Linked DNA regions of Diceros bicornis minor. The protein of the gene in region 1 interacts with the protein of each later gene in a pairwise test. Links are inferred from orthologs where the notes say so. Each region holds a gene or a part of one and is shown in the gene's direction. Other genes may lie near its edges.

Region 1 (10,666 bases):
GTCTATGTGGATCCCTGTATCCATAGCATCTAGACCAGGATCACGCATACAGTCGGCGCTCAATAAATGTTCATGGAGTCAGTGAGCCCTGGGGCTGGAAAAGAAGACAGAGATTCCAAAAATGCACAAATAATAGAAGCCATCATTGCTCCTCTCTGGGCCTCAGTTTCCTCACCTGGAAAATGGGGACCATTATTCCTACCTCACTCACGCATTTCACAAATACCTGATTTTTGTACTGATTATCAATCCTTTGCCAGACGCAGGCCGTGTGCTGGGACACAGCAGGATATAGGACAGGCTCTTGTGAATCCCTTAATTGGACGGGGCAGACAGACAATAAAGAAGACTGCAATTAAACACGTTCATTTCAGAGTGATAAACGCTATTTTAAATAATAAAACAAGGTGATATCCTAAAGAATGATTGGGTGTTGTTTTTTTTTTCCATCGGACTGGTCAGCAAAGGCTTCTCCGAGGAACTGCCATTTAAGCTGAGAAGAAGCATTAAGTCCACGGGGAGATGTAGGAAAAAGCATTCCAGAGAGAGGGAACAGCATGTGCAAAGGCCCTGAGGCAACCGACTTTCCGTGTTCCTGTGCCTTGCATTATACTGATTCGGATGAAAATTGGGGGCCAACCTGGGCATAAATACATGCTCAGTCAGTGTCGGTTTATCCTCCACTCTTTTTCCATAGCAAATGGCCTGGTAAAGAAGAGGCATTTATTAAGGAAAGGAAGACGGGAGAAGGAAAAAGTAATATAATCGAATAATTACTCATTTCCTCATTCAACGAATTTGGAAAGTCACGTGATCTAAATCTGGCCAATCAGAGCATCTGTTGAGACCATAATATTGAATCAGAGTAGTCATGTGATCTAAATCTGGCCAATCAGAGGCTTCTATTGGGCCATCAACCTTGAACCCGGGATGTCAAGTGCCAGCCATCTGTGCTAAATCCTTTCCCGTCCCGTCTCATTTAAGTCTCCCAACAACCCAACAGATCCTTACACCCCGTTCCTTCATTCATGCACTCGTTCTCCATTTATCCAGCTCTGACAGCAAGCCAGGCATGTTCTAGATGCAGGGGACACAGCTGTGACCAAGACACACAAAATCCACGCCTCCTGGAGCTGGCATTCTAGGAGGAAAAAACCAACAAAATAAATACGTAAGAGACGTCGGCTGTCCGATGGTGGTGAGTCCTGGGCAGGGGGGCAGCGGCCCCGGGCCGGGGGCGCGGGAAGGACGGGAGGCGGTCACGCAAGGGAAGTGTTGGACCTGTTTTTTTTATCTTAAAGTTTGAAATTTTGTTCATTAGGGAAATTGTTTCATTTGTTGTGATCTGTTCAAAGATTGCCTGATGCAAATCAAAACCACAATGAGATGCTACGTGGCATCCACTAGGATGGCTATCGTGAGTTTTGTTTTAAATGGACAATAATAAGTGTTGGCGAGGACGTGGAGAAATTGGAAGCCTTGTGCACGGCTGCTGGGAATGTGAGATGGTGCAGCCGCTGTGGAGGACAGGATGGTGGTTCCTCAGAGAGCTAAAATAGAATTACTACATGATCTATGGCAATTCCACTCCTGGGTACACACTCAAAAGAAATGAAAACATACGTCCACATCAACACTTGCATACGCGTGTTCATGGCGACACTGCTCACGGTTGTCAGAAGATGGAAACAACCCAAGTGTCCATTTGATGATGGATCCACACAGCGTGTCCACCCACACACTGGAGTATTACACAGCCGTGAAGAGGAGTGAGGCCCTGACACAGCCACACCGTGGACGGACCCTGAACACACGACGCTCAGGGAGAGAACCAGACACAGAAGGACACACGGTGTGTGAGTCCATTGATGTGAAATGTCCAGAACAGGCAGATCCGCAGACAGAACGTGGGTTCATGTTTGCCAGGGGCTGGGGCAGGAGGATGGGAATGACTGCTAATGGAGACGGGGCTTCTTTTTGAGGTGATGGGATGTTCTGGAACCAGATAGTGGTGATGGCTGCACAACATGGTGAATGTATTAAATGTCTCTAATGGTAAACTTTATGTGTATTTTACCACAATAAAAAAAAATAGATTGCATTCAGATGTGAGGTCTGGGCCAATTTTCCTCACCAAAAAAAAAAGTCTTAAAATAGTGCTTACTGTGTTGACCGAGATTTTTGGGGTCCCCTTAAATGTTAAGCCTGAAGAAAGTGTCTCACTTGAAAGTACACTCAGCCTGGTCCCAGCCCTGCCTGAATGAACCAGGGAAGTCACAATGAGGCCACACTGAGAAGGTGACATTTAAGCCAAGACTGGGAGGAGACGAAGGAATCAGCCAAGCTGGGATTTGAGGATGAGCGTTCCAGGCAGAGGGCACAGCCCGTGCAAAGGCCCTGGGGCAGGACCGGGCCTGGCGTGTTGGAGGAACAGGGAGGAGCCCGTGTGGCTGGAGCAGAGGGAGGAGGGGGAGAGAGGGAGGAGAGAGGGCAGGGAGGGGACGGGACAGGTCGTGCAGGGTCTGGTGGGCAGCAGGGAGGACGTGGGCTTCTCCCCCGAGGGAGGTGGGAGCCCTGAAGGGCTGCGCGCAGAGGAGGGAGGGGACGTAGGTCAAGTTTTAAGCCTGTCAGCTCTGCAGGGGAAGGAATTTCGTCCTCCTTGGTCACTGCTGTAAACCTCCACTAAGAAGCACCTTGGCACACAGTAGGTGCATAAACATTTACTGAGAGAATGAATGAATACTGGCTCCATGTGGGGAAGGGGGGACTCAGGTGCAGAGCAGGAAAGTCCCGGGGCCTCCAGCCACCCGGCGGGGTCGTGCCAGGCCGAGCAGGACGGCGGAGGCTCCCGCTCCAGCAGCCCCACGGGGGAGGCCCCGGGCGGCCACCTGTTTGCTCCGGCCCCGATGAATGGCCGGGCGGCCCCATCCATCAGGCACCAGGCGGTGCCTGGCTCTGCCCAGCGGCCGCGGCCCCGCGCATGTCTAAGCAGCCCGCGAGGCCGGTCCCCGATGGTGGGATCCAGGAGACACGTCCCCGCCCCGACCTGGCCCCAGCGGTGGCCCAGAGGCCCCGGGGAGAGGACAGAGCAGGACATGGAGTCGGGGACGGGTGGGGGCCGAGGGGTGTGGGGGGCAGCCACCCAGACAGGAAGAGCTCAAAAGCCCCAATTCCCCCCAAATTAATTACACCATCAAGACTGTGCCCTCCTGGGTTGGGGCTCTGGCCGTGCCTTTCCCTCCCCGGCCGTGTTCCGTTCTTTCTGCCCCCAAAAGCTCCTCCACGCACTGGGCCTGCCCCAGCCCGCCCCTTCCTAAACCCCACTTTGGGCGTGCCCCTGGTCTGCTGGCCTCCCACCTGGCCTCGTCTATTCCATGACCAGCGAGAACCTTCCACCATCTGGCCCTAGAGGCCTCTCTCTGCTGCTCTAAGCCAGGGCTTCTCAGCTGAGGGCGACTGTGTCCCCCAGGGGACACTGGCCATGTCTGGGGACATCCGTGGCTGTCAAGACTGGGGGTGCTTCTGAGCATTGAGTGGGTGGGGCTGGGGATGCTGCTCAACCCCCTACAGTGCCCAGAACTGCCCCCCACAGAGAATAATCCAGGCCAGAACGCCAAGAGTGCAGTCTCAGAAACCTGCTCTATAGCCTCCCACGGCTTCCTAGTACCCTCCAGGTCAAGTCCCCACTCCTCAGCGCTGAATGCAGGGGCCCGCACCGTCCCGGCTCCCGGCCCCCCGCAGCCAGTATCCCCCCATGCCCTGCCTTTGTGCCCCACCCGGAGGGGCAGTCTTGCTCAGCGGTCAAGGGCCCGAGGACCTGGGTTTACATCCCGGCTCTGCCACCTCCCGGCTGTGTGATTTTGGCCAAATCACTAAACCTCTGAGTGCCTTAATTTTCCCTTCTTTCCAATGGGCACAATGGCTGCACCTAAGTTAACATGGGAAAGGCAGGGCCTGGTGCATGGTGAAAACATACACAGGTGGGTTGGTTTATTATTGCTCATGGTTTGGGTCAAAATCCTGGGCTGAAAGGCCCAGCTCTGCCCCCCAACCAGTCTGTGCTAAGTGGGAGTGCTGGTCCCCAAGGGCCAATACTGGGGGGTGCCTGCCTGGATGAGGGCCAGGCGCAGACGGCCTCCCACGAGAAAGGTGTCTGGTCCCCATGGTCCGGGGGGAGGGTGGGGATGGGGACAGGGCTGGTTTCACCGACGTGAGTCTGGTGTTGCCCCACGGGGTCCTGCACTCCAGGCCCCGGCGCCTGCTTTAATGCTCTGTTGTCACCATCTCGAAATTTCTAACCACTTTTGAACAACAAGTCCTGCCATTTCATTTCAGCCCTGGGCCCTAAAATTCTGTAGCCCGCCCCATCAGGGACTCTAGGACGATTTGTGGGGTCTGCGTATTCCAGAACCCGATGGGAATACCGAAGAACTTTCCCAAACTTGTTCCTTTTTCCTTCCAGCCTCAGGACTAGGGAGACCCTGCATTTTCGAGACTCGTCTGCGGCCCCCTCAGATGCTGTCTTATTTAATATGTGGATATTTTGCGCATTATGAATTTTTGGGGGCATTCCTTTTTATTTTTTAAAATACTGCATTCAAGTATTATTTATCTTGAAGGCTTTTTGCTCTGGGGGGAGACTTAAAATTTTGCTTATTTATGTCACCCTAGTCCCGGCCCCTCATGTGCCCAGGAAAGGGGACCGGGGTCCTAACCATTTTACAGATGGGAGAAGCAAGGGCCCAGAGAAGTTAGACACATCCAGGGAGGCAAGCTGCACAGACGATGACGAGGAGAATTCAGACTGCGGTTAGCACGTGCCAGGGGTTGATGGGCATTATTTCAACAGCTTCTCTGAGGTCTGTCCTCCACGTGGCCGCGAGCAGATCCCATCAAAATCTGAGTCAGAGCCGCCCCTCCTCTGCCCACAGCCCTCCAGTGCCCCACCTCTCTCAGGGGAAAAGCCCGAGTCCTCCCCTCGGCCCACCAGGCCCTGCACCATCTGCCCTGGTCCTGTCACCAGCTACAGAATTTGCAGGGCCCAATGCAAAACGAAACTATCAGGCCCCTCCTTCAAAAATTATTAGGAATTTCCAGACCACAACAGTAGATCATTAACCCAAGCGCAGGCCCTTCTGGGAGCCGGGCCCCTGTGCGAATGCGTCAAGCTGCTGGCCCTGCCTCCCTGCCCTGGTTTCCTCCTATGGTCCCCCGGTGCCAGGCACAGTGCTGCCTCAGGGCCTTTGCACTTGCTGCTTCTGCCTCCCTGAACGAGCCTCCACGCCGGCAGACCTCCACCAGCTCCCTCTCTCAGCTTCCGGTCCTCTCTGCTTCAAGGAGGGCCTCTCTGCCTCCCTCTGTTTGAAATCGCACCTACCTGGCCCTGCTCTCTGCCTTATTTTCTCCATAGCTGTTACCACCATCTGACCCGCCAGGGACTTGGCTGGTGTCTTCGTGTGTGTTCGTCTCTAGCGTGCCCCATGTCGTCTCCCCCAGAGTAAAGACGTTGTCTCCACCCCCCGCCCTGGCCCCCACGCCCTGGAGCAGGGCCTGGCACACAGTAGGCGCTCAATGAACGCGTGGGGAAGGCACGGCCCCCAGGAGGCCGGCGGTACCGCCGCCGCCTTGCTTCCGAGGAGGAAACCGAGGCTCGAGAGAGCAGCCGGCGAGCCGAGGCTGCAGAGCGTGTCCCTGGCACGCGTCCAGGTCGCGCCATGACAGCCGGCCGTGGCGAGGGGGCGGCGGGCCCCTTTCCTTGACAGATGGGGAAACCGAGGCCCCCGCGGCCGCCAGGGCCACCGGGGCCGCCGGGCGGGGGGGGCGGGCGCGCGCCGTGCCCAAGGTCACCGCGCCGGGCGAGGGGCGGCCCGGGGGAGGGGCTCGGCGGGCCTCCCCGGGCGCGCGCCCCCCTCGGCGGCGCGCACGGGGCCCGGGCGGCGGCGGCGGCAGGTGGAGCGGGAGCCTCCGCGCAGCCGAGGCCGCGGCCCCGCCGGCGGCGCCGCCATTAGACAATAGGAGCGGCGGGGAGGGCGCCGGGCGCGCAGGAAGCGGGGCCCGGGGCGCGCCGGGGCCGGGCGCGCGGGGAGGGGGCGCAGGAAGCGGGCGAGGCCGGGCGCGGGAGGCGGCGGCGGGGCCCCGGGAGCTGCCGATCGGCGCCGGGACAAAGGCGCGGCCGCCCGGCGCCCCGAGCCGCCCGAGCCGGGGCGCACAGCCGGGGCGCAGCCCGCGCCCCCCGCCGCGACTGACATGATGTTTCCACAAAGCAGGCATTCGGTAAGCGGGGCCCGCCGGGGCCGCTCGGGGCCCGCGCCCCCCCCCAGGTCGGGGCCCGGCACCCCCCTCCAGCTCCAGGCCGTGCGCCCCCCCCCAGATCCGGGCCCGGCGCCCCCCCCAGGTCCCGCGTCCGGCACCCCCAGTTCCCAGCCCGGCCATTTCCCCCCCAGGTCCGGGCCTTGTGCCCCCCTAGATCCGGGCCTGGCACCCCCAGTTTCCAGCCCGGCCATTTCCCCCCCAGGTCCGGGCCCTGTGCGCCCCTAGATCCGGGCCCGGCGCCTCCCCCCAACTCCTGGGCCCTGTCCCTTCCAGCTCCAGGCCCAGCGCTGCTCCCCCCCCAGCTCCCAGGGCTCCCCCACCACGCAGCTCCCAGTCCCCCTCCCAGCTTCCGGGCCCGGAGTCCCCCCCCCCAGCTCCCTGGCCGGGTCCCCTCCAGCTCCCGGCCCTGCGCCCCCGCCCCGCAGCCCCTGGGCCCTGCGCCCCCCCACGGAGCCCGGCAGGGCCTGAGCGGCCTTGGCGTCGGGCCTGGGGCGCCCCTAACGCAGGGGCTGCTCTCGGTGCCCGGGAGTGAGGGGAGATCCGAGACGCACCCCTCCCGGAAGGGCCCGGAGGAGGGGTGCCGGGAATCGGGGGGCCCCCCAGGAGATTTGGGGCGCTGAGAGGGGCCCCTCCCCCAACGGGACTTTGCAGGGAGGCCTCGCTCCCTGCCAGCTTGGGGAGGGGGCTCCCCGGGACGCGTCCCCACCGCCCTCCCAGAGGCAGTCGGGGCGCTCAATGTGCGCCCCCCTCCCTGCGCTTTGGAGGGGCGGTAGAGGGCGCACCCTGGGTCCCCGAGGGCGGGCCTTCAGCGCACCCCCCAGCCCGGGGGTGGCGGGGACAAGGCGGCTCCGGGGCGCGCCCACCCCCTGGCTTCCCTCGGGAGAGGCAGGGCAGGAAGCGAGGGCGGGGGCGCGCCGGGGGCTGTAAACACCGGCCCGGGAAGTGGGGCGCGGGGGGCGGGGGCGCTGCAGCTGGGCCTGCCGGGCCTCAGGGCCGCCCGGGAGGGAGCCCCCCCGCCCCCCGCCCGGCCCTGACCCTGACCCGGCCGCCCCCTCCCCGCAGGGCTCGTCGCACCTACCCCAGCAACTCAAATTCACCACCTCGGACTCCTGCGACCGCATCAAGGACGAGTTCCAGCTGCTGCAGGCCCAGTACCACAGGTGAGGAGGGCGCCCCCGCGCAGGCGCAGCACCGCGGCCTGGGGCGAGGTCGTGGCCCCTGCTGTATACATCCTGAGCACTGGACCAAGAGTAAACTCACTTCCTCTTCCCAACAGTCCCATTTCACAGATGGGAAAATTGAGGCGCAGAAAGTTAAATCATTTGCCCGAGACTCGTGGCTTCAGAGCCCCCCTCCCACCCCCATCCCTACTGGATAACAGACCTCCCAATAACTGTCGGGGGTCCCTCCACCCGCCCACCCCCCCAAAAAAGAATTCTGTAGCCTGCTATACGTCTCTCTGCTAGTTTTGCAGAAAGCGTCCCGGCAGCCAACAGATTCTCGAAGGTGCTTCTCCCTCCAGAATGGAATCTGCTGACCTGTCTGCAGGGCCTGCCCTCTGCCCCATCTGAGGGGAAGGAGCTATTGTTATCTCCATTTTCCGCCTGAGAAACTGAAGCCCAGAGAGGTTAGGGATTTCCCGGGGACGCACAGCAAGCAAGTGGCGGAACTGAGAGTTGCACCCGATCTCTCTGGGTTGAAGAAGGCCTGGGGGGGCGTCCAAGGCCTCTCTGGACCTCAGTTTACCCACACACAAGTGTTCTTTGAAGGATGCTGGGTTTCCTCGAAGAAAAAAGGGAGAATAGTGAGTTTTTCGGTTTTTTTACAAACATCCAGCCTCTTGGAGGTGCTTCTTAGACTCCTCATGTGCTAAATACTGAACAGACATCCTCTCGTTTAAATCTTTCTTGTTGTCCCATAATCGTGCCCATTTTAAAGGTGGGGAAACTGAGGCACGGGCAGTTGGAAGGCAGGCCCCAGGAATTTGTTCTGGTCTGCGATGTGCAGGGGTCTGGTTGGCCTTTCCGAGCCCCTCCAAGGGGTCCTCCGCTCCCCGACCCCGGCCCTGCCCCCCGCACAGTGACCGTGGGGTGGTCCAGTCGCAGACACCGAGCGTCATATTGCTGCCACAGTGCTGTGTGACCTCGGGGGGGCCAGAGCCCCTCTCTGTGCTTTGGGGTCTCCGTGCACTGGACCCGCACTTCCCTCTATCCAGTGAGGGGCCCTGGCACGTTGGGGGCACACACCAGATCTGCCAGGAATCCAGAGTCTGGGATGAGATTGCGATTTTCTTTTTTTTTAAGTGGGGTTAACAAATGCGCATTTTTAAAGCAAATTAGAGAAAATAAACTCGTGGAGGCCACGGCGACCCCAGCTGCTGTCCAAGTCCCGGTCAGTCTGGTGGAGTGAAGCGCCAGGCTCCTGGGGTGACCATACGATCACCAAGCACTCATTAGATGCTTAGTGTATGCCAGGCGTCGTCCTAAGAGCGTTTCTGGTCTTAATCCGTGTCATCCTTGCCAGCCCACCCCGGGAGGTGGGTACTTAACAGACGCAAAGATTGAGGCCCAGAGGGGTAGAGACGTTGGCCCAGAGTCACACAGCATCGAAGGAACACGGCGGCGTTGAACCCAGTCCGGCAGCCTTGAGTCTGTGCTGTCGGCTCCCCCTTGGGGGGCTTCGAGAAATGCCCGCAGCTCGTCCTTACTGGGGGAGGCCGGGGTCACCATCCATTACCCAGCAGTGGAACTTGCACCTCCTCATGAAATCAAAGCCCACGGCAGGGGGGGGCCTGGACCACCTTGGGGATTCCTCGGTGAGTCCACCCCAGAGCCCTCCAGCCGGCCCCCGGCCTCTCAGCCCCTCTGCGGTCTCGGCCTGTTCCTCTCTTGCTGGAGACTTTTCCCCAGTGGCTGAGAGTGTGGCCTCTGAAGCCAGCTTCCCGGCTGTGTGACCTGGAGACAGTTCCTCACCCTCTCTGGGCATCCACTGCGTTATCTGCTAAATGAGCGTGATGCTAACAGGACCGACCTCAGGGGGATTCGGGATGGGTAAAGGTTCTCTGAATCCCCCTCTGACCAAGAGTCGGGGTTTTCGCTCTGACTTCTGTTATTTTTATTATCGTCGTCGTCGTTCTCCACCACCCGACCTGCGAGGCTGGTTTCGTAATTCCCGTCATACCTGGGGAACCTGGGGGTCTCTATGCCCGCCCCATCCTCACAGAGGAGGGCGTGTGTGTCCCCCATCGAAGTTCGGGGTTCCCCTGCGCCTCGGGGGGACCTCAGCCCAGCGCCCGCCCCCTCCCCCCTCTCCCTCTTCAGCCTGAAGCTCGAATGTGACAAACTGGCCAGTGAGAAGTCGGAGATGCAGCGTCATTACGTGATGGTAAGCGGCCCCGGGTGGGGGGACGGGCGTGGGGGACCCCGGACCCTCCTCCCTGCCAGCACCCCGGCCTCCTCCTCCGGGAAGCGGGAGGAGTCAGGGTCTGCTCTCCATCCCGCGGCCCCTGGAGCCCGGCTGCGTCCGCCTCGCTGGCCTGGCTGGCGGCCCGGGAGGTGGCGGAGGTGCCAAGCCACCGGGTTGCAGCCCGAGCCTGCCAGGTCCCCCGGCTGGCCTTGGCAGCCGAGGAGGCGGCTGTGGGAGCCAGAGCCAGGAACTGACGTGGGGGAGCAGCCGGATCCCCCCCACCCCGGGCGTCCGGCCGCTTAACCCCTCCTCGCCCGGGGAGGCGGACTCCTGGGGGTGACGCCCTTTGGGGTTCGTGGGGGGCAGGGGGTGACACTGCCTTCTCTGGCCTGACATTTGAGACCCTGTCGGAATCACTTGCTCGGTTTTATACCCACCAGGTGGCGATTTTGGCCTCAAAAACCCCTGCTTTGGTCCAGCCAGAGCCCCACTTTCCCAGGCCATGGGGAAGGAAGAGCCAGACTCTGCCCCTTGCGGCCCCAGAAGGATGGGGCTGGGGCAGAGAGAGGGCCCCGGGATTGGGGGGCCCTGAGGGGAAAAGGCTACCTGAGGAAGGCTGCATGGAGAGTGGGGCACTGCAGCTGGGGTCTTGATGAACCAGTAGGAGTTTTCTGGGCAGAGAAAGGGAAACCATGCAAGGGCCTGGAACGAACTTGGCTCCCCCCCTCCCCGGTGATGGGGAGCCATGGCACCGTTTAGAGCAGGGGAGGGGCAGGGTCAGATCTAGGGCGTCGGGAGGGGGGCTGCCTGCCTGGGAGCCCAAGCCAGCAAGCTTTGTTTATCCTCGATTATTTATATCCAGGAAGGCAAACTTCCCTGGAGTCTGGGGCCACCCGCAGACAAGACACATAAAGATAAGAGATTAGGAGCCTTGGAATGTGTGTGTGTT
Region 2 (9,423 bases), on another chromosome or scaffold:
GCGGGCTTTGAAGCCCGGTCTGATTGGCTCGAGGCTGAGTTCCTGCCAAGGCCGCCTGGCCCAGCCCAGTCCTGGGGGGCTGATGGCAGAGCAAGGGTTGTGGTTTTTGGCAACTGGCTTCAGGCAGAAAGCCTGGGGTCAAAATGGCCCCCTATCCCAGGGGTCCGCCTGAGCAGCTCAGGTCAGAGCCCAGCGCCTGGGGCTTGCAGCAGAGCAGGCCCACGTGCACCTCTGGCTTCAGGGTTTCCGGAGCCCCCAGACTCACTGCCCCTCCTCCAGGGTGCCCCTCGACCCTTACACTCTGCCTCAAGGGAATCACCCCAAAACAGCCAGGCCACCCTGGACCAGGTCCCTCAGAACAACATTGAATGAGGGAAAATGGATTTCCTTTCCCGGTGATGCGTTAGTCCCACTCTGTTGCCACCCCTGGTCGGGAGGGCTGGTTTGAGGCTGGGGGGAGGGAGTGGCGGTGCCCAGACCCCTGCAAGCCCCTTCTCAAAGAAACCTAACCAAATCTCCTCTGATTCCCTGCCTGGCCTCCTCCGCCCCACTCCCATCCCTGTTTGCCAGTCTCTGTCTGGGTCTTCCTGCCCTCACCCCCAAGACAGGCCTGGCATGTCCTGCAGCCCGGAAAAGTTACACCCACTCCCAGCAACTCAGGGGCAGGGCTGAGAGACCAGGGGCACACCCTCCTTTGGGGGGCATCTGAGATTGACGGGGGGATGATGTCATCAGCCTTAAATCCAGGGGCCCCTTGCCTCCGTCTGCTCTGAGAGCAGCCAGCCCCGGTGGGCACGCAGGGGAGGCCTCAGGCTCAGAGGAGACTCACTCTAGCCACATACCCCAGGAGTTTCAGGAAGGGCACTTCGACCTCCTCACTTGCCCCCAAAAGCCAAGGGGATACCTGGACGCCTGGGGGAGAAATATGGCCAGCGTGGGACCCTGCTGGTTCCAAGCACAGTGAGTTGGAACAGAGATTCTGGACCCGTCAGACGCCCTCTTAAATTGTGTTTTAGACAAATTGGGTAAGCTCTCCCTGCATCAATTTTCTCACCTGCAAACTTTCTCATCGGGAACATGGATCCCCATATCCAGAGCTGATGCGCAGAGGACACGATTAGATTACTTAGTCCTCAACTGCGATGATTGCTTATTTATTCATCCGGCCAGTTATTGTTTCATTTGACATGAATAACAGGGCAGCCATATAATTTATTGTCCAATCCAGGACACTTGTGAGAGTGAAAGGGGACGCTGTTATGGATGGTGCTGGGACAGCAGGCATGACCCAGGACCATCCTGGGCAGGCAGGGACCTCTGGTCACACTGTGAATCTTGTGTCCTCCCTATGCCAGGCTCAGATACAGGTGAACCCATCACACCCCGACCCCAGGGGAGGAGAGAAGAAGAGCCACAGCCAGAGAGTCTCATTCAGCTCACTATCAGGAGGCGACACGCATCCAGAAAGCAGAGCAGGGTCCACGTCCCAGTGTTTCGTGAGCTTACAAAACTCCTTCAGAGGCCAAAATGACATTTCCACAGTTCCTGTCTCCGTGACTGATGCCTCTCGGTAGCCACAAATGCCAACTCTTTTATGTAGGAGCACCATGATTTTGAGGGTCTCTTGTGGGGGCTGACATAGCACCAACTCCTTTGTTATTTTAGTATCAACGGTCTCTGAGCCTCAGTTTCCACATCTGCAAAATGGGCAATGATCACTACCTCAAAGTGTGGTTGAGAAGGTCAGCTGAGGGAACGTCCGTGAAAGGCACAGTTCTTGGTACTCACTGCGGGTTGGTAGGATTTGAATCTGTTAGTTGAAACGGCACGTGTCAGAGGCTGGTGGAGGGAATGAGGGAGAGGCAGGGATGTGGGGACATTACCGCGTGCATTTCTGCCTCTTGCTGGCTGCATGGCCTTGAACTGGTCCCGTCTGTAAAGTGAGAGTCGGAATAACAATCCCCGAAGGCCCTCCCTGAGACGGTTAACCTGTGTTGTTTCCACATTCTGGGGCCTCCTGGGTGTTGGGTCTACCGTGTCAAGCCTGTAGCGGACTCGGAGTTCGTGACCGTAGCTGTGAAAGGTGGGAGGAGAGAACTGTTCAGCAGGCTGTATCACAGGATCAGCAAAGCATGAAAGGCTTACCAGGAAGAGCCAGGACACCTGCACTAACGTACCCTGCCTTAGAGCCTCGTCTTAGCCTCTGCAGATCTTCCAGCCCCGGAGCACAGCATTTAACTCTTCACCAAGTATTCTCAGGAATACAATTTCATGTGATCACTGCAATCCTGTGACAGAGGCTGACTGCCCCCATTTTACAGACGAGCAAACTGAGGCCCAGAATGAGACGGATGGCCCGAACTTGCAACTTGAGTTTTCAAGTCTCAAAAGAACCCATGCCTGCACTCTTTCAACAACCCTACAGATACCTGGAGCTAAGAATTAAAATATATATATATCAGCCCCAAAGCCAAACCTCATAAATGAACTTGGGGGCCATTGGAGAAAATGCTCTTCTACATCCCTCCAATATTTTCTATTTTTCTTGTCCCCCAACCAGACTGTAAGTCCTGAGGGCAGGGGCTGTGGCTGAAAATTCCATTATCTCCCAAGTTGCTTAGAATGGTACACAGAGCAGGTACTTGCTAAACGTGGATTAAATACAAATATTCTGAAATACTATGCAGTCATAAAAAAGGAAATAGCTGTCCATGGAGTGATAGGAAGTGATCTCCAAGAAGTGAAGAAAACACAAGGTGTTCAGCAGCGTGGATCAGATACTATCACTTGGGCTAAAAATAGGAAAAGAAAAAAAAATACACATACACCCACATATATACACACACACTCACACAAAACACTCTGTCTGGGAACGGTGTGTTTGGCAACACTGGTTCCCTCCAGAGAAAAGAAGGAGATAGCTGGGGGCCAGTGGGGAAGGGACTGGCAGAGCTGGGGTGGGAGGGAGTCCCAAGTCCTGATTCCTTCCCCAGCCAGCTGGGTTTGCTGCTCCCAAAAAGCCCCATGAACTCTTGTGAAAGTTCTTGGTCAGCTATGCACACATCAGGATGCGGAGAAGGTCCAGCAGACAAGAGGCCCCCATTTTGTATTTGATATAATATAAAATCTGAATCCCCCAACACGATGACATTTGCAAACAACCAGGGCGACCCTAAAGTGAATTATCCAAATCGAGACACTTTTGGAGTGAAAGTGGTGCTATTAATAATCATGCCCCGGCGACAAGCACAAACCAGACTTCCTGGGAAAACCAAGACTAGCCCCCCACAAAAATTATTGTCAGGAGGCTGGCGAGAAGACATTTGGACAAGGGCCTTCAAAGGAACATGGTCTGATTCTAATACTTCACCCCCCCTTCCCCCCCACTACCCCTCCCCCAAATACTGACAAGAATAGAGGCTTTGGGTAAACCGGGTTCAGATCCTGGCTGTGTTCAAACCACCTGACTTCTCTGAACCTCAGCTTCTTCATCTGTAAGACAGAAATTCTGACCCATCTGGAGGGACACTGCGAGAATGAAATGCCTCACGCAGAGCCGGGCTCGGAGAAGATGCCCAGGAAGACTGGCTGCCCTTCCCCTAACGCAGAGAAATAATGAAACGACACAGGCTTCATCCAGAAACTCTGGGGGGTGCACAGAGAGCGCCTTTCTCCCAGACCAGAGTCACAGACGCCACTGCGGGAGGAAGTGTCAGCCCCGTGCGCAGGGAGACGTTGATTCTAATTCTGGGAGTCATTTTGCGAAGCACCTCTTCGAGGTGACTCATTTGGGGACTCGCTGAAAAATCCTTTGAGTTAAAAACAAAAGTTGAGTGGGGCTCAGGTTGCGTCGTACCTTTTCCCTCCACCCCCTGCCCTGGCCAGGAGAGTGGGGGGAGTGCAGGGAGTCTGGAGGGTCTCTGGGCAGAATTTAACCTATTTTTCCCCCAGCATGTCACCAGGGGCTGGGACCAGGCCAAAGGGTAGGAAGTAGGGGGCGAGGAGGAGGAAGGCCAGGAAAACGGGGTGGAGATGACTTCTCCCATCCCCTCTCCCACAGTCCTGCTGCTGCACCCTCCTGTTTCTAGAAACCTACAGCAAAAGCCTGGGCCACCCCCTCCCATTCCTGAATTATAGTCCAAGAGGGAAGGAAGGGGCTGGAAGGACTTCTTCATTCCCCTAGCACTCAGCAGCAGCCATCAGCTGGCCTGCAGCCAGACCCATCTCTGTTGATTGTGGCTGGCTGTGTGACCTGGGGCACATTGCTTGACCGCTCTGGGCCTCCGTTTCCTAACTGGAAAATGAGGACACTAGGAGTACCTGTTACAGGGGCTCTGTGAGGCTGGAAAGGGGCTTTGCAAATGGTAGAGTTTTACACAGATACTTGCCAGGGCCCCAGTGGTCTGGTGCTGCTCCCCGAGTTTCCTTCAAAGGGGAATTTCAGGTTCTTGCTCTGTAGCGTACCAGGACGGGTCTCGGAGCATGGGGCCTGTCCTAGTCACTTCCCCTCATACAGGGCTCTGCTCAAATGTCACCTCATCAGAGAGGCCTTCTCCCAGCACCGCTATGAAAAAGCGCTCCTGGGCTCTCCTCCCCCTTCTCTGCTTTATTTTCTCCACCAGACTTATTATCCTCATCATGCCAGGTACTTTTCTTCCTCCCAGCCCCCACTCCCAGATGGAAGCCCTAAGAGAGTCAGGGTTATATTTTGTTCGCGAGCATATCCCAGTGCCTAGAATAGTACCCGTCCCATAGAAGGCGTTTGTGGATACGTGTCCGGTGAATGAATGAATGAACTAATGTTTGCTGCACGAGTATAGCCAATATCACTGATCCGCTAGTAACACTGCAACACACTGTCTCAGAACTTCTGTCTTTCGATTACTTTTTGCAATGTTTATTTCTCATATTTAACTCTTCAATCTTCATCTATCTGACATTTACTGCAAGGTATATCATGCGAGGTGAGGTTGTAAACAGATCCCCAATTAAACAGCTAACCAATGTGCAGAGTGATCCATTTCATCCCTGTTGGTTCGTGGAAGGGCTGGACTGGGCTGGCTCCTCTGGATCGGCTGCTGCCCGGTCTGCCCCTTCTTACACCAGCAGCCCAGAGCTATGCTGCTCATGAGGTGAGACTGCGTAGATTAGGCACACAGGCACTGGAAGTAGACAATCTGCGGTCCAGCTTCTAGCTCAACCACTTACCAGCTGGGTGACTTTGGGCAAGAGAATTTGCTTCTCTAAGCTTCAGTTCTAAGCCTCGTTTGCTGTAAAATGGGCACGAAAGTAGCATAATGACTCCTTCTGAGACTAGCGGCGGGACTGAACACCACAAGGCAGGCAGAGCGTGCAGCCGCGAGTCCCGCACACAGCGGGGGTTCAGTGGGTGACATTATTGTTATAGCTCACAGCCAGTGGAAACATGTTCACTCACCGGGCAAACGAGGCCCAGCGGGCATCCGCCTGCACCCAGCACAGCGCTATGATCAAGCTGGGCAGCTGGCAGGCAGGCAGTGTCAGTCTCTGGTTCCGGCAGTTTTGCATGTGGTGGAGAAGCAGCAAGTGTGGAAACAGGAACTGTCCGAGCCAGGAGCGTCCCCTTTTGGGGGGGCGGGGGGGGGCGGGTCCCCTTAGGAAGTGAGGCGGGGAACTGAGCTGCTGCCCTTGGGCCCCCATGGAGACTGTCTCCTTAGAGGGTGTGACAAGCATTCATTAGGGGAGTCTGACTTCTTCCAGAAACCTCTGCACATTGACGTGCTGGTTCTGGGATCCACAGGAAGCGGGGAGCGCCAGACGGGGAGACGTTGGCGCTGAGGGCGGGGAGCAGCACCTTCACCACATCGACATACTTTCGGAGCCTGCTTCGTGCCCACATTCAGCAGGCGTAAATAAGCGCTCGTTGGTTAGCCCATTTCAGTGCAACCGGGGCTGTGATGGGAGCAGTGTCAGGCGATGGGTACTCAACAGTGCGTGGGAGGGGTCCCCGGGGTTGGCTGAGTGCAGACTCTAACCCTAAGGGTCTAGAGCCCGAGAAGAGGGGGAGATACTGGGCCCGACTCGCGGTGTGAGCTTGGGCCTCAGTTTCCCCATCTCTGAAACGGGGAGGGGGCGCCTCGGCTGAGCGGACCACTCGCTGCCCAAAACGCTGGGGGCAGTGGAGGGATCCCGGCGCGGCGAGGGCGCCGCGGGGGCGCCCCCCGAGCCTGCGTGGCGGCAGCGCGCACGAGCGCAGGGGGCGGCGCGGGCCCGCGGCGGGGAGGGGCGGGAGCGCGCGCGCGAGCCCGCGCAGGCGGCGGCGGAACCGAGCGGACGAGCGTGCGGCCGCGGCGCCGCCGACTCGTGTGGGACCCGCCGCTGCCGCCGGCGCCCGCCGTCCGCGCGCCGCGCCTCCCGCCGGCAGCCGAGCCCGCCCGCGCGCCGGTGAGTGGCCTGGGGCCGGGCCGGCCGGATCGGGCCGGCGCAGGCCGGGGAAGGGGCGGGGGCCGGGCCGCGGGGCCGTCACCCACACCCGGGCCGAGCGGGGTGCGCGTGCCCGCGCGCGCGCCCGGGGCTCCGCGGGGGAGAGCGGGCGGCTGTGCACGCGTGAGGTCGGGGCGCGTGTGAGCGTGCGAGTCTGAGTGTGTCCGCGGCCGTGCGTCCAAGCGTGCGTGGGCGGCGTGTCCAGCTGTCCCCGGGGCTGTGTTCGCAGGAGTGTGTGCGTGTGCACATCGGCGTGTCAGGGTTGTGTTGTTTGGTGTGAACGAGTGCGGGGGAATGGGCATGGCTCCCCCTTATCCGTTTACTGAGTGTGTTCTCTGTGCCAAGGAGTGTGCCAGGGGCTTCTCGTGTATTCTCATTTTGTGACCCACTCTGTGTGGATTCAGGGAGTATGTGTGTGTGCATGCACGTGCATGAGTGTTCACAAGTGATTTGTGTGCGCGTTTGTGAGCCTGTGAGGACAAAAGTGTGTGTATGTGGATGTGAGCGTGTAATTTGTGTCCAGGAGTGTGTGTGTGTGTTTATTATGGAGGCTGAGGGCCCCCCTTTGTGCCTACCGGGCCTGCTACGTGATGTGCCCACAGCTGGCCCCCATGCAGGGGGCCCGTGGAGAGAAGCAGGCCTGGCGGGCACCCAGTGGGTGCCGGGCCTTGTTTGGTGAGTGAAGAGCCAGAGGTCAGACCCACAGATCCCTGCTGGGCCTGGCAGGGGGCGTGGCCCCAGAGCCAGGCCGGGGCAGGGCCACTGGCAGGACCATCTGTGGGACTCCAGGGCGCACAGGCTGGGCTGCGGCTGTGATGGGCCTGGCACTGGAGGACTTGTGTTCAGTTCTTCCTAAGTGCCCTCTGGGTCCCCTGGCTTTGTTCTTGCCCCTCTCTGGCCCTGGTTCCCTGGGGGGCTCACCCCCCGGGGAGACCAGGGGTCTGGAGTCGCTTGTCTGTGTATCTGGGGGTCTCCCTCTGCCTGCCTCCCTGAGTAGATACGTATGCATCTGATTTATTTGTATCCAGCCTGGGCTCCATGTGAAAGCCCCGAGACAATAACAAATTGATCACAGCAGGCTTGGGACACTGTCTTCCAAGGTCTGTCCTTGTAGGTTTGACTGACAGGTTTTTGGGGGCTTTATGAACGTTGAAAATCTCTGCAGTCGAAAGTCTTAATTGCTTTAAGGCAAACTTCAGAAAGTCTGGAGCTCCCTCGTTCCTCTGAATTGTCAAAATTCAGCTCTCCTTTCCGAGGGGAAAATGTCGTCTTAGGAGCTCAGTGTCTGCGCAGGCAAACCTGGGAGGCCCATTTAAAAACCGTAGCGTTAATGGAAGAAGAATTTCATTGAAAGGGATGCAGAGCTGGCTGGAGGCGCCTGTTCCCAACACGGCAGCTTACCGAGTGAACTTTGAACGTGGTCTTTTAGCAAACAAAACCTGGAAGGAAACAAAAAAGACCCACATTCTTTTTCTTTTTGTCCTAAAAAATGAAAAACAACACCTTCTGGATTTGCTGGAAATGCCGCCTCCCCTTCCCCCAGCAAGGCCAAGCCCTCCCTCTATCCCCCACCCCCAAATAAAATATGCCTGTGGGGAGCTGCGGATGAGTCACTCCCTGGCAGAGAGCCCCACGGGCAAACATTTGGGAAGGTTCTTGCCTAACTTCCCAGAAGAAAAGCCCAGGATTTAAAATGGTCCCTGTGGTTTGTCAGCCCCTGCGTCCCGTCTGCTTCGGAAATGACTAAAAAGTAGTTTCTGTCTTCACAAGACAGAGTCTCAGACTTAAGCAGCAGCCCAGGTTGGTCTGGATTTAGGGCCGTTCGGGTTTCAAGAAACGGAGCTCCTGGCTTTGCCAGGTGGCACTGCTGGTGGCTTTGAGCAAGGAACGAACAGGGAAAGGGAAAGAGAAGTCACATTTATGGAGCACCCACTGCGTGCGGAGAGAAGGGCTGCAGGATAGTCATCCTGCAGAGAATGGCTTTCGGTTTTATGTGCACAAGGAACTGAGGCTCAGAGGGGTCAAGCCTGTGTCCTGGGACACAGATTCCTGTCACCTGCCTGACTTCACGCCCATCCTCTTTCCATTCCCCCGGGAGCATGACATGTGCCTTCTGAAGGTGCACAGACTGTGTGCTGAGTGCTTTAACAGGCATCCATGCATTTAATTTTCACTGGGAGGTAGGGGATTCTGTCTCCATTTTACAGATGAGAAAACCGGGGCTCAGAGGGATGAAACAATGTGTGTAATTTTATGAAAGTATTGCTACAACCAGTGGCCACCATTTATTGAGGGTATACCATGTGCCACGAAGGGTACTGAAAGCTTTAAGTGCCGTGTCCCGCTCAATCCACTCACCCGCACTGTGCGATGGGAACAATCATGATGCCCATTTTACAGATGAGGAAACTGGGGCACAGAGAGATTAAATAATGTGAAGATTATGTGCTAATATGCCGTTGACCCTGGATTTGAAGCCAGGCTTGACTGAGCAGAACCCAGTCTTCCCACTGAACCTGGAAAGTAACAGTTGCTGTGTACGTGCGTCTGGCCCGGGGCTAAGGTCCAGGATTGTTATCCTGATCTTGCAGAGAGGAAGATGTAGGCTCAGGAAGGTTAAGTAACCTGGGCAGGGTCATAAACTGGCAAATAGCAGAGTCAGGATCCAAACCCCCATCTCTGATTCCAGAGTTGAGGTTCTTAACCTTGAACCAGGTCTGTCTGTCTTTGTCCTGCTTTTCTCCTCTCACGTGCTGAAAAAACAAGTGAATTAACACCCGCCAGGTTCCCTCGGGGCTGGGATCCTTGCTGGGCTCCGGCCTTCAGGGAGAGGCGCTGCCCTCCCTCCTTGTCCACTGTCGCCCCTCTGGTGCAGCTGACCAACGGCCAGGGCCAGAGCTGTCAGATAGAAAGGCCTCCAGTTCACATTTTTTTCTTTCCTCTTGAAGTGCCAAAGATTGG

The links. The genes of interacting proteins can lie anywhere in the genome.
Region 2: the proteins of TLE5 (region 1) and NEK6 interact in binary tests that used the Homo sapiens proteins (3 or more experiments, as listed by UniProt). The two-hybrid records come from large-scale screens. The link is inferred for Diceros bicornis minor from reciprocal best matches to the Homo sapiens genes TLE5 and NEK6.

What each region holds. Positions count from the first base shown.
Region 1 is NW_026691553.1:2,384,914-2,395,579, reverse strand, and holds the start of TLE5 (TLE family member 5), read left to right. Parts: upstream 1-6,175; 5' UTR 6,176-6,246; coding exon 6,247-6,273; intron 6,274-7,374; coding exon 7,375-7,472; intron 7,473-9,632; coding exon 9,633-9,696; intron 9,697-10,666. UniProt on the Homo sapiens protein: Transcriptional corepressor. Acts as a dominant repressor towards other family members. Inhibits NF-kappa-B-regulated gene expression. May be required for the initiation and maintenance of the differentiated state.
Region 2 is NC_080767.1:32,841,312-32,850,734, forward strand, and holds the start of NEK6 (serine/threonine-protein kinase Nek6), read left to right. Parts: upstream 1-5,838; 5' UTR 5,839-5,905; intron 5,906-6,341; exon of another isoform or gene 6,342-6,423; intron 6,424-9,423. UniProt on the Homo sapiens protein: Protein kinase which plays an important role in mitotic cell cycle progression. Required for chromosome segregation at metaphase-anaphase transition, robust mitotic spindle formation and cytokinesis.